Drosophila melanogaster: one gene and its partner. The protein of the gene in region 1 interacts with the protein of each later gene in a pairwise test. Each region holds a gene or a part of one and is shown on either strand. Other genes may lie near its edges. The genes, in order: CG3198 and tfc.

What was found.
Region 2: the proteins of CG3198 (region 1) and tfc interact in a two-hybrid assay, tested with the Drosophila melanogaster proteins (one large-scale study listed by BioGRID).

What each region holds. Positions count from the first base shown.
Region 1 is NC_004354.4:6,667,744-6,675,549, forward strand, and holds CG3198 (uncharacterized protein), read right to left. Parts: upstream 6,231-7,806; 5' UTR 5,996-6,230; coding exon 5,894-5,995; intron 5,821-5,893; coding exon 4,877-5,820; intron 4,593-4,876; coding exon 4,519-4,592; intron 4,437-4,518; coding exon 4,240-4,436; 3' UTR 796-4,239; downstream 1-795. Other genes in the region: Mcm6 (minichromosome maintenance 6), read left to right, coding at 6,763-7,806.
Region 2 is NT_037436.4:1,254,266-1,259,557, reverse strand, and holds the start of tfc (triforce), read right to left. Parts: upstream 3,110-5,292; 5' UTR 2,397-3,109; coding exon 2,198-2,396; intron 1-2,197. Other genes in the region: CG9133 (uncharacterized protein), read right to left, coding at 3,819-4,070, 4,514-5,160, 5,234-5,292.

The DNA of each region.
Region 1 (7,806 bases):
GTGTATGCTTCAACAGTGCGTTTCATGAGTGTAATTGGTGTATGCAAAGGTTAGCATCGATTTATGCTCTGCATTTACGTGTTGTTCAGGTTCAACTGATATTACCTTAGGCTCGAAAACAGTTACTGTATTATTCAATTAATTTTAACTGCTAATTGTAAATTGTTGTCTGTTTGTTTTTTTTTGCAAGTTGACTCCGTAAAAACAGTCGTACGATTTTTGCTCAATCCGAAAATGGCTGTTGTGAAATTGCTTTCCTAAACGAATGGCCGGCCATCCCAAGTGCATATATATTTACATACTATGTACTGCCTTAATGTCCCGAAACGCACTGTAAGCAGCATATGTTCACCTGATCCATTGAAGTGCGTAAATAGATGTTGTAGATATTAAACTTAATGCAAATACATACAGTAAAGCGACAAGAAATTTATAAATACTATTAATATTAAATATATATTAAATCTACATATACATACATTAATGAATAAACAAACACAATATTGTTACAACTGAAACGAAAACGTCTTTGAAATGGAAAGTTATGGAAAACGAAGAGTTTTTTCTTTTTATTTTAGCACGCAAAGATTAACAACAGAAAATTTTGTTTTTCATTTTTCGAATCGTTTTTGATCGATTACCTATTTTATTTTCATTGTCACGATCGTCCATGCTGAAAATCTGAAAAGTCTAGTAACAAACGCGCATGATTTTACATTACCGCTGGCTGGTGCGCTTCGTCACTACATTTATCATGATTGCAAAGAAAACAACGGATTGCTGGTTTTTTTTTTTCGGGATTTAGTTTGATCTTTATTAGAAAATTATTGCGAGTCTCTCAATAGAATGTGTTTATCCTTACTCATATCGTAATTCGTAATTAAAAACATCTTTACATGACTAAAGACGATCGATCAAGTTTTATTGATTGGGTTACACTATTATACTTAAATCTGCCTTCGTAAATGTTCCTTAACTCTGTTTGCCCGATGCTAACTCAATTCAATTGATTAATTTGCTACGTAATTGTGGGTAAACAATAAAAATGTGGAGTGTTGGGTTAGTGGATGGGATCTGGGATGCTGGCAGGGAAGAGGTGTGTTCCTCGCAGGAAAAGGGATAGAAAAAAGGAGCTTATCCTGCGCGGACACAAAACAAAAGCGACCATACATTCATATACATATATATATATAATGTATATATGTGTACGGTTCAAATTGCTCCATAGTATTTTTCGTTAACTGACAACCCGGCGTTTTCAATGCAATATTAATTTTGATCCAAGGATGGGTGGAAGTAATGGGTATAGTTATAGATATATGTATATAATATAGTTATAAGTAGTTGAGAGAAATGGAAATTCACCTCGTTTTGTATTATGCCTAATACAGTTATACACGAGTGTCTCTCTCTCTCTCTCTCTCACTGTCTCTTTCAGCGTTCTCTAGCACTCTGTCTCTCTCTCTCTCTCTGTCTTTCTCTGATCACTGAAAAGTGATCGTTCGTTGATTTCCTGATTGCGTTTTATGGATCGAGGAGTGCGGTTCACGGATCTCGGATCTCGGATATCGCCTTCTCTGTCGTGAAGAAACATTTATGTGTGGAGGTGTGGCATAGAAGTTACCTGGTTGGTTCTTCTTCTTTATCTATAGACATATGCATATCTTCCATATATATCTTCCTCTTTCTCTATACATATATATACACATATATATATGTATATATATATATATATATATATATCCCTCGCATTTATTTCAACACTTTCGGGCTCCTTTCCTCGGTTGGCGGCTTCTGGAATACGTTTGCAGAGAGGAAAGTGTAAGTTAAGTGAGCCAGACAAAAGTTCGGGGCAGTTAAAGGTGGATAGCGCATCTTAGACTAATTTCGAGCTGAACGTGTATATAGATTGATTACGTATACGTATTCAGAGTTCATCTGAGTGTGGGGTTTATATATATCTTAGATTGTGTGGCACGAACAGTACAAAACATACAGCTACGGGATATTCGATTGGTTTTGGACGGAGATTTAGCCAACGGCTTATCTCGTCACATCACAAAAATTCGATTTAATCGAGATCGATATCAAATATCAGTATCATAATTTTTATGGGGTCGGGTTCAGTCGCAATTTACCTGTTGGTGAAGAGGAGGGGGGAACATGAACATACATACATGTGTATGGGTTTGGGGACTCGAACTCTCTCTCTCTCGCCCTCTCTGTCTTTGCACTGTTTGCTGTCTCCCTCTGATCACTGCCTATGCTTGTGCTTCTTCATTTTGCATTGTATATTGTATTTGATTGATTAGAATTTAATTCGATTTAGCAATTCAATTACCTCGTGATTTTTCGTGGGTGTCTTGGAATCTTGACTTGAAGAGTTCGCTGGGGTTAGTTTTGTTTTTGTTTTTTTTTTTCAAGCTTAAAAAATAGAGTATAGTGCAGGGGAAGGATGGGAGGGGGCGGAAAACCACAACAATGAGTTAGGGATTACAAAAAAAAATAAATAAATAACTGCAATATGTAGAGTTTTCACGACAAGCCGATGATCCTTTTCCAAGTTTAGCTTTCCAAGGCTCAAAGACTAAGTTTCTTATACATTCATTATCATTATCATATCATAAATAGAGCAAGCGAAAGTACTTAGATATTTGTAAAATTCAGAAGAATCCTTGAATCCTTGGAATGGGCTAATCGCTTGGTTAAGTTATCATCGATTTATCAAATGTACCTGGGAATCTGTCTCACATCAGAAGCTCCTCTCTCTCTCTCTCTCTCTCTCTCGCTCTTTCTCTCACACTCAGTCCGTCTCTTTCTGACGTTCTTCGGCTCACAAGGCACTAAGACTACATACCTCCACGGGAATACTCGAAACCCATCCCAGTGAACCCAGTGGCCAAGTCAAAATCACATGCAGTACGATTGTCACTCAAAGTCATTATATAGATACACTACCATATAATATGTACATACATTTATCGTTTGTGGTTTGTATTTTATGGTTCATAATGTGTCTGTGTTCTTATGTCTTGCGAATGGGTTGATTAGTTGGATGTGCGGAGGGGAATGCGGGTATGGCAGGGAATGCGAATCTGTATCTGTTGGGTTAGTTAAGCGCATAGAGATAAGAGTAAGGCTTGGTAAATACCTGTTTCAGTCAATGTCCCACTCACAATTGCAAGGGAAACGTCCAGTGAACGCTCCGTATCGCCCTAATCCCCAGCCTATCTTTTGGTCATTATGCTTATATATATATATATAAATATATAGAAGTCAAACTCACGCAGCACTTGGCGAAATCTTGTTTTTATATTTCATAGTTAACTAATTTTAAGACTAAACCATAAACTTCACTATTCATTCTGCAACTCCCTCAATATTTGTTTAACCAAATAACCATTGAGTATATTAATTGGGCAAAAAGAAAACTGTCGAAGGTACAAACTTTAAAAATAATCCTGCACAAAATTGAATACTACAACGTTAGGTTAAAAGTGCCTGTGGTGCTTGACTAAAAAAACTAAAAGAGTTAAACATATTTTTTGATCGAAAGGACGTAGGTCCGTCTGTCCGTTTCGAAGAACTGGTGGACCTTGGTGAAATCCTCGCCCGGATCTCAACCCAACTGGGTACACACACACATATTGAGGGGACACGCGCGCGCGTGTGTGTGTGTGTGTGTGTGTGTACACAGATATATAGATCGTATATACGAGAGTAGAGTAATGATACGAAAACGAGTATGTCTACAGAATGTGAAGGGGCACAATGGCGCCCGAGTGTTATATATTCTTTTTTTTTACGGGCTTATTAAGTGTTGGACTCACCTCAGCGCAATTGATACTGCCAGCTCAGATACTGTTTTATCTAACTGTTTTCTGATACATATTATTATTATAATTTTTTTTTTTTTTTGGAAATTGTGTTAATGATTTTTTTTTTTCTATTGGGATACCTCGATGCTGCCGCCCGTGGCCACGGCAGCTGGTGCTTACGGATTGCGAATTGCTGATTTGCGAACCACATAAGACGAAGACTGAAGATCGCAGATGGTCGAGAGATTGGGTTCGTTTTGAACTTGATCATATTTAGTTGTTGTACACTTGCGGTATGGGGCTTTGGAAACTGGAAGTGCTCCGGACTTTCGGATTATTTACTTGTGTTCTTGGTTTGCTATTCACTTGGTTTCTATTGTGTTTATCTTTTCTTTTTCTTTTTCTTTTTTTTTTTTGGTCTCTAGTAGCGACTGCGACTCCGGCTGCGGCAATGTCGCTCGCGGCTGTCATGGCGGTAGTGATTATGGTTGTGATTATGATGGCTCCGGTTGCTCCGACTGCTTCCACCACCTCCTCCGCCGCCAACTCCTACACCGCCGCCACCACCGCCACTGCGCGAATACGAGTGATGGGAGCTGTGGTGCGATTTATGGTGATCTGGAATGGAAATACAGTAGTTCAGTAAACGTTCGAGTGCCGTGTGCAAGTGCAAAACGAATTTGGGGGGGTGAGAACTTACGGTGACGTCGATCCGAGGGCTGGCGATTCTGAACATAGTCGCGACTTCGCTCGCGGTACTCACTGCGTGGCTCGCTAAAGGATTAAACGAATGGAAGATGCTCACATTAGATATAAGATCATCATAGTTCGTTAACTAAAACATTGTCTATAGGATACCATGACATCGCATAGTTTTCTCGTTTCGTGCAGTAACCAAGTAATGAAATAAACTCGAAAGTAATTGAACAGCATTACTCATCGTCACATTGAGGGCATTCTGCCAATTATTTTTTTTTTGAGAACGAACTTATTTTTGTTTTGTGATCTTTTGCCAGGTGCGCATATAGGATAGGATACAGGGTTCGTCGAGACCTTACCGTCTGCTATCGTAGGAGTGGAAGCGCTGCACTCGACCCTCACGTCGACGTCGTTCCTCCTGCTCGCGCTCCTTCTGTCGCGCCTCGTTGATCTCGGCGACGGCGTTGCGCAGTTTGGAGTAGCCCAGATGCTGTTTACCCATCAAATGGTCCTCGATCCGCTGCTGTGCATCGCCGACTATCAGGAAAGCGCCACAGATTTCGCACACCTTCATTTGTTTCTCGGGCATGGCATCATGCGACCAGCCAGCCGCCTTGCTATCCGTCTTCTCTGACGTTTTGTCCTCGCTGGCTGCACCAGCTGCTTCACCGGCATCGTCAGTCGTTGTGACAGCTGCTTGTGCGGAACTTGGAGCTGCATCCGGCGCTTCATCTAGCGTGGTGGCGGCTGGAAGAGGAGTAGTTGGACTTTCTTCGCTGGGATTTGTGACCGGACTGCTGCGCGGGTGATGCTGCAGCTCGTCCTCCGCTGACTTGGTCAGGCTGATGCTGCTGATGGCCTTGTGATGGGCCTCGTATTGCTGTACCAACTGTTCCTTCTCCTCCTTGAGCTCCTCGCACACGGTCATTAGATCTTGGGCCTGGTCCACGTCACCCCGAATGCCGGCTTCCTCTGCCTCAGAGAGCAGCTTATTGATCCGGGCCGTCAGATTCGCAAGCTGCTCCTGGTGCCTGCTCAGTGGCGCCGGTACATTGGGCTGATCCCTTTGCATTAGCAGCAAACGCTGTTTTCCCTTCTGGATCTTTCGATCCACATCGTGCAGCATAACATTGCAAAAGCGCAGGAATTCATCCTCGTACTGACGCTTCCGCTGCGAGGGTCGAGCATCCTCGTAGAGATGTCGGGCTTCCTCGTCGTGGATGCGGGCACAGGGGCCCAGATCTGCGCGCGTATTTATGAATAGATCGTGCGGACAGAACTTAACGTTGTAGAACTGACAGAACTGCGGACAAAAAAAAAAACCCCCATTATTTTGGAGGTGGCTCTTTGGCGCGCCACATCCTGAGCGTACTCACCTCCGGATCCTCCCAATTGACCTTGGCGCCCGCCTCCGAGGGATGCAGGTTGCGATTCCTGCCCATCAGCTCGTCGAGCATCTGCCTGGCGGCGTCCACCATTTTCCGGGGCTCCTTCGCAATTTGTGGGGACAAAACTCCGAAGGGGGCGGTGGTCCCAGTGAATCAAATGAATCCAATGGTACCACACCGACTTCTATGGCCACAACGGTGCCGGCGAACAGGTGAACACACGTGCAACGCTGTGCTCCTGCTGTTTAGCCAAAAAATTAGCCAAAATAGAATCAATAAAATTATTTCACGAAATTCGCGTGGTATCGATTATTTCGGAATAAGCCTATCGGTGCACAGCGTTCCGCGACATGAGTGGGCGAACTATCGGTCTTAAAAACGTACTAAATTCTATAAGTTCATAAAATAAACAACTTAAGTTGAATGTTTTAATACTTTACTCGTATAAAATTATTCTTATAATTCATGTCATTCATCTCTTGGATTATTAAGTTATCCGATTAAGTTATTAAAACAACGTATCTCAATCAACTTTTGGACTATTTGATCTATTCAAAAAATTCGAAAACTACTTGTTGATTAGCAAGGGCAAGAAATTTAAGTAAGCTTTCAGCAATTAAAAAAATATATATTTTTATATATATTTGAACTAATAAATTAATGTGACCGTAAGACATGTTTACCTTTGCTCTTGAATAGCTGGCATCCCTGCGCACGAGCGTTGCCACCCCCAAGCAACTGTCAGAAAAAGGCGCCAAAACCGAGCAAAGCACGCAGCTGTAAACATTCGCAAGAAACGAAAGCAATCTCGGAATTTAGCGCGCAATTCACCAGTTTGAAGCAAGAAGTGACCCAAAATGGATGTGGCAGATGCTCAGGTTGGCCAGCTGCGCGTAAAAGACGAGGTGGGCATTCGGGCCCAGAAGTTGTTTCAGGATTTCCTCGAGGAATTCAAGGAGGATGGCGAGATCAAGTACACGCGCCCAGCCGCCAGCTTGGAATCCCCGGATCGCTGCACCCTGGAGGTCAGCTTCGAGGATGTGGAGAAATACGATCAGAATCTGGCCACCGCCATTATCGAGGAGTACTACCACATCTATCCGTTCCTTTGCCAATCCGTTTCGAACTACGTTAAGGACCGGATTGGACTGAAGACCCAGAAGGATTGCTATGTGGCCTTCACGGAGGTGCCGACGCGTCACAAGGTTCGCGATCTGACCACCTCCAAAATCGGCACCCTCATCCGCATCTCCGGCCAGGTGGTGCGCACCCATCCCGTACATCCGGAGCTTGTTTCCGGCGTCTTCATGTGCCTCGATTGCCAGACGGAAATTCGGAACGTAGAGCAGCAGTTCAAGTTCACCAATCCCACCATTTGCCGCAATCCCGTGTGCTCCAATCGCAAGCGTTTCATGCTGGATGTGGAGAAGAGTCTGTTCTTGGACTTTCAAAAGATTCGCATCCAGGAGACGCAAGCCGAGCTGCCGCGTGGCTGTATTCCCCGCGCGGTGGAGATTATCCTGCGCTCGGAGCTGGTGGAGACCGTTCAGGCTGGCGATCGCTATGATTTCACGGGCACTCTGATTGTGGTGCCCGATGTGAGTGTCCTGGCCGGAGTGGGCACACGGGCGGAGAACAGTTCACGCCACAAGCCCGGCGAGGGCATGGATGGCGTCACTGGCCTAAAGGCACTGGGCATGCGAGAGCTCAACTATCGGATGGCCTTCCTTGCCTGCAGTGTTCAGGCAACGACAGCACGTTTTGGCGGCACCGATCTGCCCATGTCGGAGGTGACAGCCGAGGATATGAAGAAGCAGATGACAGATGCCGAGTGGCACAAGATCTATGAGATGTCCAAGGATCGCAATCTCTACCAGAATCTAATTAGCAGCCTCTTTCCC
Region 2 (5,292 bases), on another chromosome or scaffold:
GTCGATCGACGGACATTCAATAACTTCACGACTTGGTGACCCAGTTGTGTCTCCGTGCCGATGTGTATCTATATCGGGCAACAACTATATAGCAGATACTTGGACCGGCTAATTGTCGTTCGCACAGGCCACATAAATCATGACAACTCGCTGAGGATGTTGGCTTGCCTTGGGTGAAAAACGAGGCGAAACCTATCAAAGCGGTAAATCATTTCCACCAGCATCTGAATCTGCGGCCAAGAACCGTAAAATGTATCTGACTCGCGCTGCTGCAACGAGCGGCTGCAGTTGCAACTGCAACTATTTGAGGGCCGTGCAATTGCCGCTTGGCTGAAAAGAGGTCAATTAACTGCGAGGAGTTGCCCTGAGACAAAGGATTTCGCAATTCCGCTCGCTAAACGATTGTTTTTTCTGCTTCTCTGTTTGCGGACCAGCTTCCACATTCCATAAAGATACTTTTTCAAAGGCTTGCGCCATCGGCTTGTATCTCTAATTTCGGGCAATTACATGAGCAGCCAATGCGGCGTATACGTTACGCAGCGCTCAGGTTTCAAGTTGTGGTCAAACCCCTTTGATTGACGCACTCAAGGTGCCTAAGAATCGGTCTTTCATACGCACACACACTTTGATATATTAGATCATAATTTAGTTAAGTTGGCAGCCGTGGTTCAATGTCAAGCTGCAAAGCCCGAAAGATTAATTTATTCAATGCTGACATGTGTAATTTTATCCACAGCCATTTGGGAATACTCTAACAGAGCCCAAGTAACCATTTATTGCTGGCCAACAAGTTGTTGTTATTAAAATGAAACAAAAATTTAGTTTAAATATATAGATAAAATATATAAATTGTATTTAATATTTGCATAAACTACTGCATGAATAAGAGTATTCAAAAACTTAATTCACACAGCAATCAGATTTTTTATCGTGACAAATTGCCCTCTTAAGTGGTAGGTAGGCCTATACCATCACGAGATCATTCTTACATTTTTATAAAAGCATTTGCATATTTAGTAATCATTTGTTTATTTTTGGACAACTTCGGCTAATTTCTGAACATCACGACGAGCGAATTGAATTTCCAATGCAAATTAAAATTCTTTACTGGCTTAATATGCCCAGTAATTATTCGAAAGGTTTTTGAACTCGTGTTTTCATACTTCTTTGGACCCATTAATCTTTTGGCCACTTTTTTTGGGGGAAAGGTTGTGGGCACGTGTTCGTTTTCTTGACGCTTCTTTTCTGGCCAAAATGTCACCGAACTTTGGTCACAAATCAATATAATAATGTTTTTGCATAATAACACTATAGTGTTTGACGTCTTTTTTGATTACGTCTGTATTTTCTTCTTTTTAGCATTTTATTAAATATTCTGAGGTCGCCGGCATTCCGATTAAAAAACAAAGTCAAGCAGCGCAGCAAAAAAGTGGAGAAAAATATTATTTAAACTGGATTTCTTGTGAACATTTATGCATCTAGAAGATGGGCATTGAACGCACCTCCACAAAAACTATATATATACATATATATTTAAAATTAGTAGATAGATTAAGCCGGTGCAAAAGTTGGACTCCGGAGTGAATCTATTTGATTGGGATTCGCTGCTCAGCAGTCATATGCTTATGAATTCTAAAATATTTAAATGCCAAATGGTGCAGGGGAAACACAATTAGCATTTTAATAACAGCCAGTACGTTTTTGGCCGAAATCTGCTTTTTTTTTGTTGTACTACATATGTGAAAATCGCACGATGAGCTAGCGAATTTTAAGTATTATGCAGAAAAAGTAGCGATAAATGTGTGGAGATATTTTATGCAAATCCGATTCTCTTTCATTATGAATTCTATTATGATCTGTACTATTAATAACAAATAACTCGATTTGAAAGATTTTCAAAATAAACCTTGGCGAATGCATTTTTGCATAGAACTTCATATGTTACTTATGTTTTTAATCGCGTGATTGACGGGGCATTCCTTAAGCGCAGAACCCTTGAAATGCCCACCAACATCGACCACATTAGGAAAAGGCTCGATTCAAAGCAGTGCGGCCAAGAGCAATCGTTAGTATTTGCGAACCAATCGAGAGGGCCCCTCGAAGATGTCCATCACAGAGACCGAGAGGCTCCGACCCTGACACGGATGGCCACAATGGGGGCACTTGGAAAAGTGGCTCAAAGGGGCCAAGTACTTACCTCTCTTATCACGGCCATTTCCGCCTCCACTCCGGCTAATGTTGCTGCTGCTGCTGATGTGATTGTTTTGGCCGAGTTGGAAGCCGTGGGGCACCTGGCTGATGGGCTCGGCCACCGGGATGGTGGTCACGGGTGAGTTGTGGCCGGAATCGACACTGGCCAGTGAGATGAGCACTACGATAAGTGTGGGGCGGATCATGATCACCGATTTGCACTCTTCACGCGAATCTTAGACACCAGTAAAAGTTGCAACTGCACTTGGCGGAGACCTCTCGGATGCACGTAACCGAAAACCGGGGAAAGCCAGTCGGCTGTGGTATGCTATAACCTGCGATCTCGAGCTGGAACTGAAAGCCAACTGACCGTCGGAGGTTGGACTTTCGGGTGTCTCTAGATCGGGGGCCTATTTGGTATGCAGCTTCGCTTTCTAAATTATCAAAGTTTTGGGGAAATGTTGTGGTATCTCTCGGATTTAGTTTTTAATATTCAAATACTATGCTTTTCTCCGCCCAACTGTCAACGCTGGATGGGGCGGGTTGAGTCTCTAAACGAGGGCCATTAATTTGCGCCCTCGAATTCGGACTGGGAGCCCGGTGTTCGTCCGATGCCTGGTCGTGGAGGCGAACGCGGATTAAGTAATCGCCCAAATCTACTCCACTCAATTCACTTTCTTTCCGCTTTCGCGGCGAGAGGCAGAAATTGAATTGGATCGAGCGAACTGGAGCGGATGGTCTCTCCTCACTGGTTTTGTGGTCTGTCGTGGACCGATCTCAGAAGTTGCTCACATTCGGGGCCGATCCGCTGAATGGTTAACATCTAGGCTGGGGCACTGCTTCACGATTTCTCGACTCTTTCCTGCGTTCGCACTCGCCGTGTTAACTTACAGACTAAAGCGTTTGAACGCGACTAAAACGAGTTCCTCGCTCGACTCCTCTCCGAGCCACCGATCGGATCGGTCAGCTGGCCCGATCTGCGATCTCTGGTCTCTCGGATCTCTCCCTCTCCGTATAGTATAGTCACTGCAAAGTGACCAAACCGCTAAGCTGCCGCTGCATCCAACGGCGGCTTTTCCTCCTCCTCGATGCTCCCTCCCGCGAAGATTTCTGGCTTTTAATTACAGGTGTGCAATAGATGAAGATGGTCGGATCGGATCGGATCGGCATCAGAGTTCTGCATCGCGAATTGGTTTTGTCGGCTATTTTTAGACCCGCCTCAATTGCAGATGAAACACCTCCGCGGCCTTGACTGGGCAGTTAAGTGCCCTTAATGAAGATGGGCATATACACTTGCAAGCAGATTACTGCGGGTTAGGGTATCTACATCAGATCAATCAGTGAGGGATCAGATCAACTAATCATAAATGGGACTAGAATTATTGTTTTTTTTTTTCTTAATTTTAATTCAATCAAAAGCATACATTTACGTAACTAGTCGAAAAAGTGAGTGTTCGTGCATCTTACTGGACGGGTTAATATGAATGGGTTAGTACCAGAGCCAAATTTCAATAATTGCTGCTGTGAATTTTCAAAGAGTCGCTTCCAAAATGCCAAAGGATGTGTTCCGAAAGGGTAAGCGTCAAGTCCGGTCGATGGGAATGGGATCCGCCTACGGATCTCTTGGTCTACTTCTTCTTCTTGCCCTTGCCCTTCTTGCCCTTGCCCTTCTTGCCCTTCTTCCCCTTCTTGCCACCGGTTAGCATCTCCTCGGAAACATAGGTCTCCGTGGTCACCTTGCTGATCGGAAGGGTTACGGGCTGCTTGGGCGTCCGCAGCTCGATCTCGATGGTATTCTTCTTGTGCTGCGACTTGGCCTTACTTCCCAGTTTTACTAGGAACACGTCGCTGTCGGTCTCCTCGCAGGTCTTGTAGCAAACCTGAAAAATAAGAAAAGCGACAAATCTTTTTAGATACTATGCAACAGCTAACCAAAATAGTCTCAATGCAACGCGTTGCATCTTTCGCAGAAATTACCATAAATAAAAAAGCTGTAGCGGATTGCCACCGCAAACTGAAAAGAGTGCTCCACACTTGGAGCTGGCAGATGTTACGCAACTGCCCCACAATTGAGGCAATCGAAAGCCTTCCCGAAGTGGCAGAAGTGGCATAGTTGCACCACCTGCAACAACGTTTAGGGGGGCAAAGTCACGGACTACCAATCGATCCACATTCCGCATCCGCACACGTAACTGGCGAACTTAAAAAATGGAATGCGGAGGCGATCGGCGATTGTGGTTAATGATTTAAGATCGAACATTCTTGAAATATGGATTTCCTTAGGCCACTCAGTGCTGCGCAAATGAATATAGGATGGACTCACCTCGATACCCTTGCGCCTTGTGTCCAAATTGACACCCTTCATGGTGTCCATGATGTCCTTCCGCTCGACCTGCATGCAACATGATCGCTGGTTCTGGACGGGACAGTGCGCGGGCACGATGGGATCGGATCCGCCGCAGAGTCGCTGGCGGTAGCAGTCGACCTTGGCCTCCTGGAAGTCGCAGGCCTCCTTGATCTTCGAGAAGGGCACGTAGTAGTTGTCGGTCTCGCAGGCATCGTTCCCAGAGTACTTGATATTGGCTCGCACCTTGGGGATGTTCGGGTGGTTGATGATGCGGCCGCCGGTCCGGCGCTTGATGTGGTTGCGAGCGAAGGAGCTGCGCTGGAGCATATCGTGCAGGCAGGACTCCTTTGCGGGCTCGCAGTCATTGGGGTCATCGCGATAGCAGGGATCATCGCCTGCGCCCAGATTGGGCGCAGTCTCGCTGCCATCCATCACGCTCTCCACCTTGTGGGTGTTCTTGAGTACGCGTATGGTCAGACCGCTGCCATTGAGGCAGGCCTCGAACTCGTCGTACGCCTCCGGACCCGGATCCGGCTTGGTCGGCTGGATGAAGCAGGGAGCCAACTCCGGACTGCAGTCGCAATCGCAGGCGCACTGACAGCAGCCATCACAGTCGTCCACATCTGAGGATACCAATTGGAAGGGATGAATCATCCTTAAGCCCGAGCTTCGGTGCAGGGATCCGCGTGTACTTACTCTCGTTCATGGGCTTGAGCATCTCATTGGTGATCTTGAACTTGCAGTCGACCTTTGGC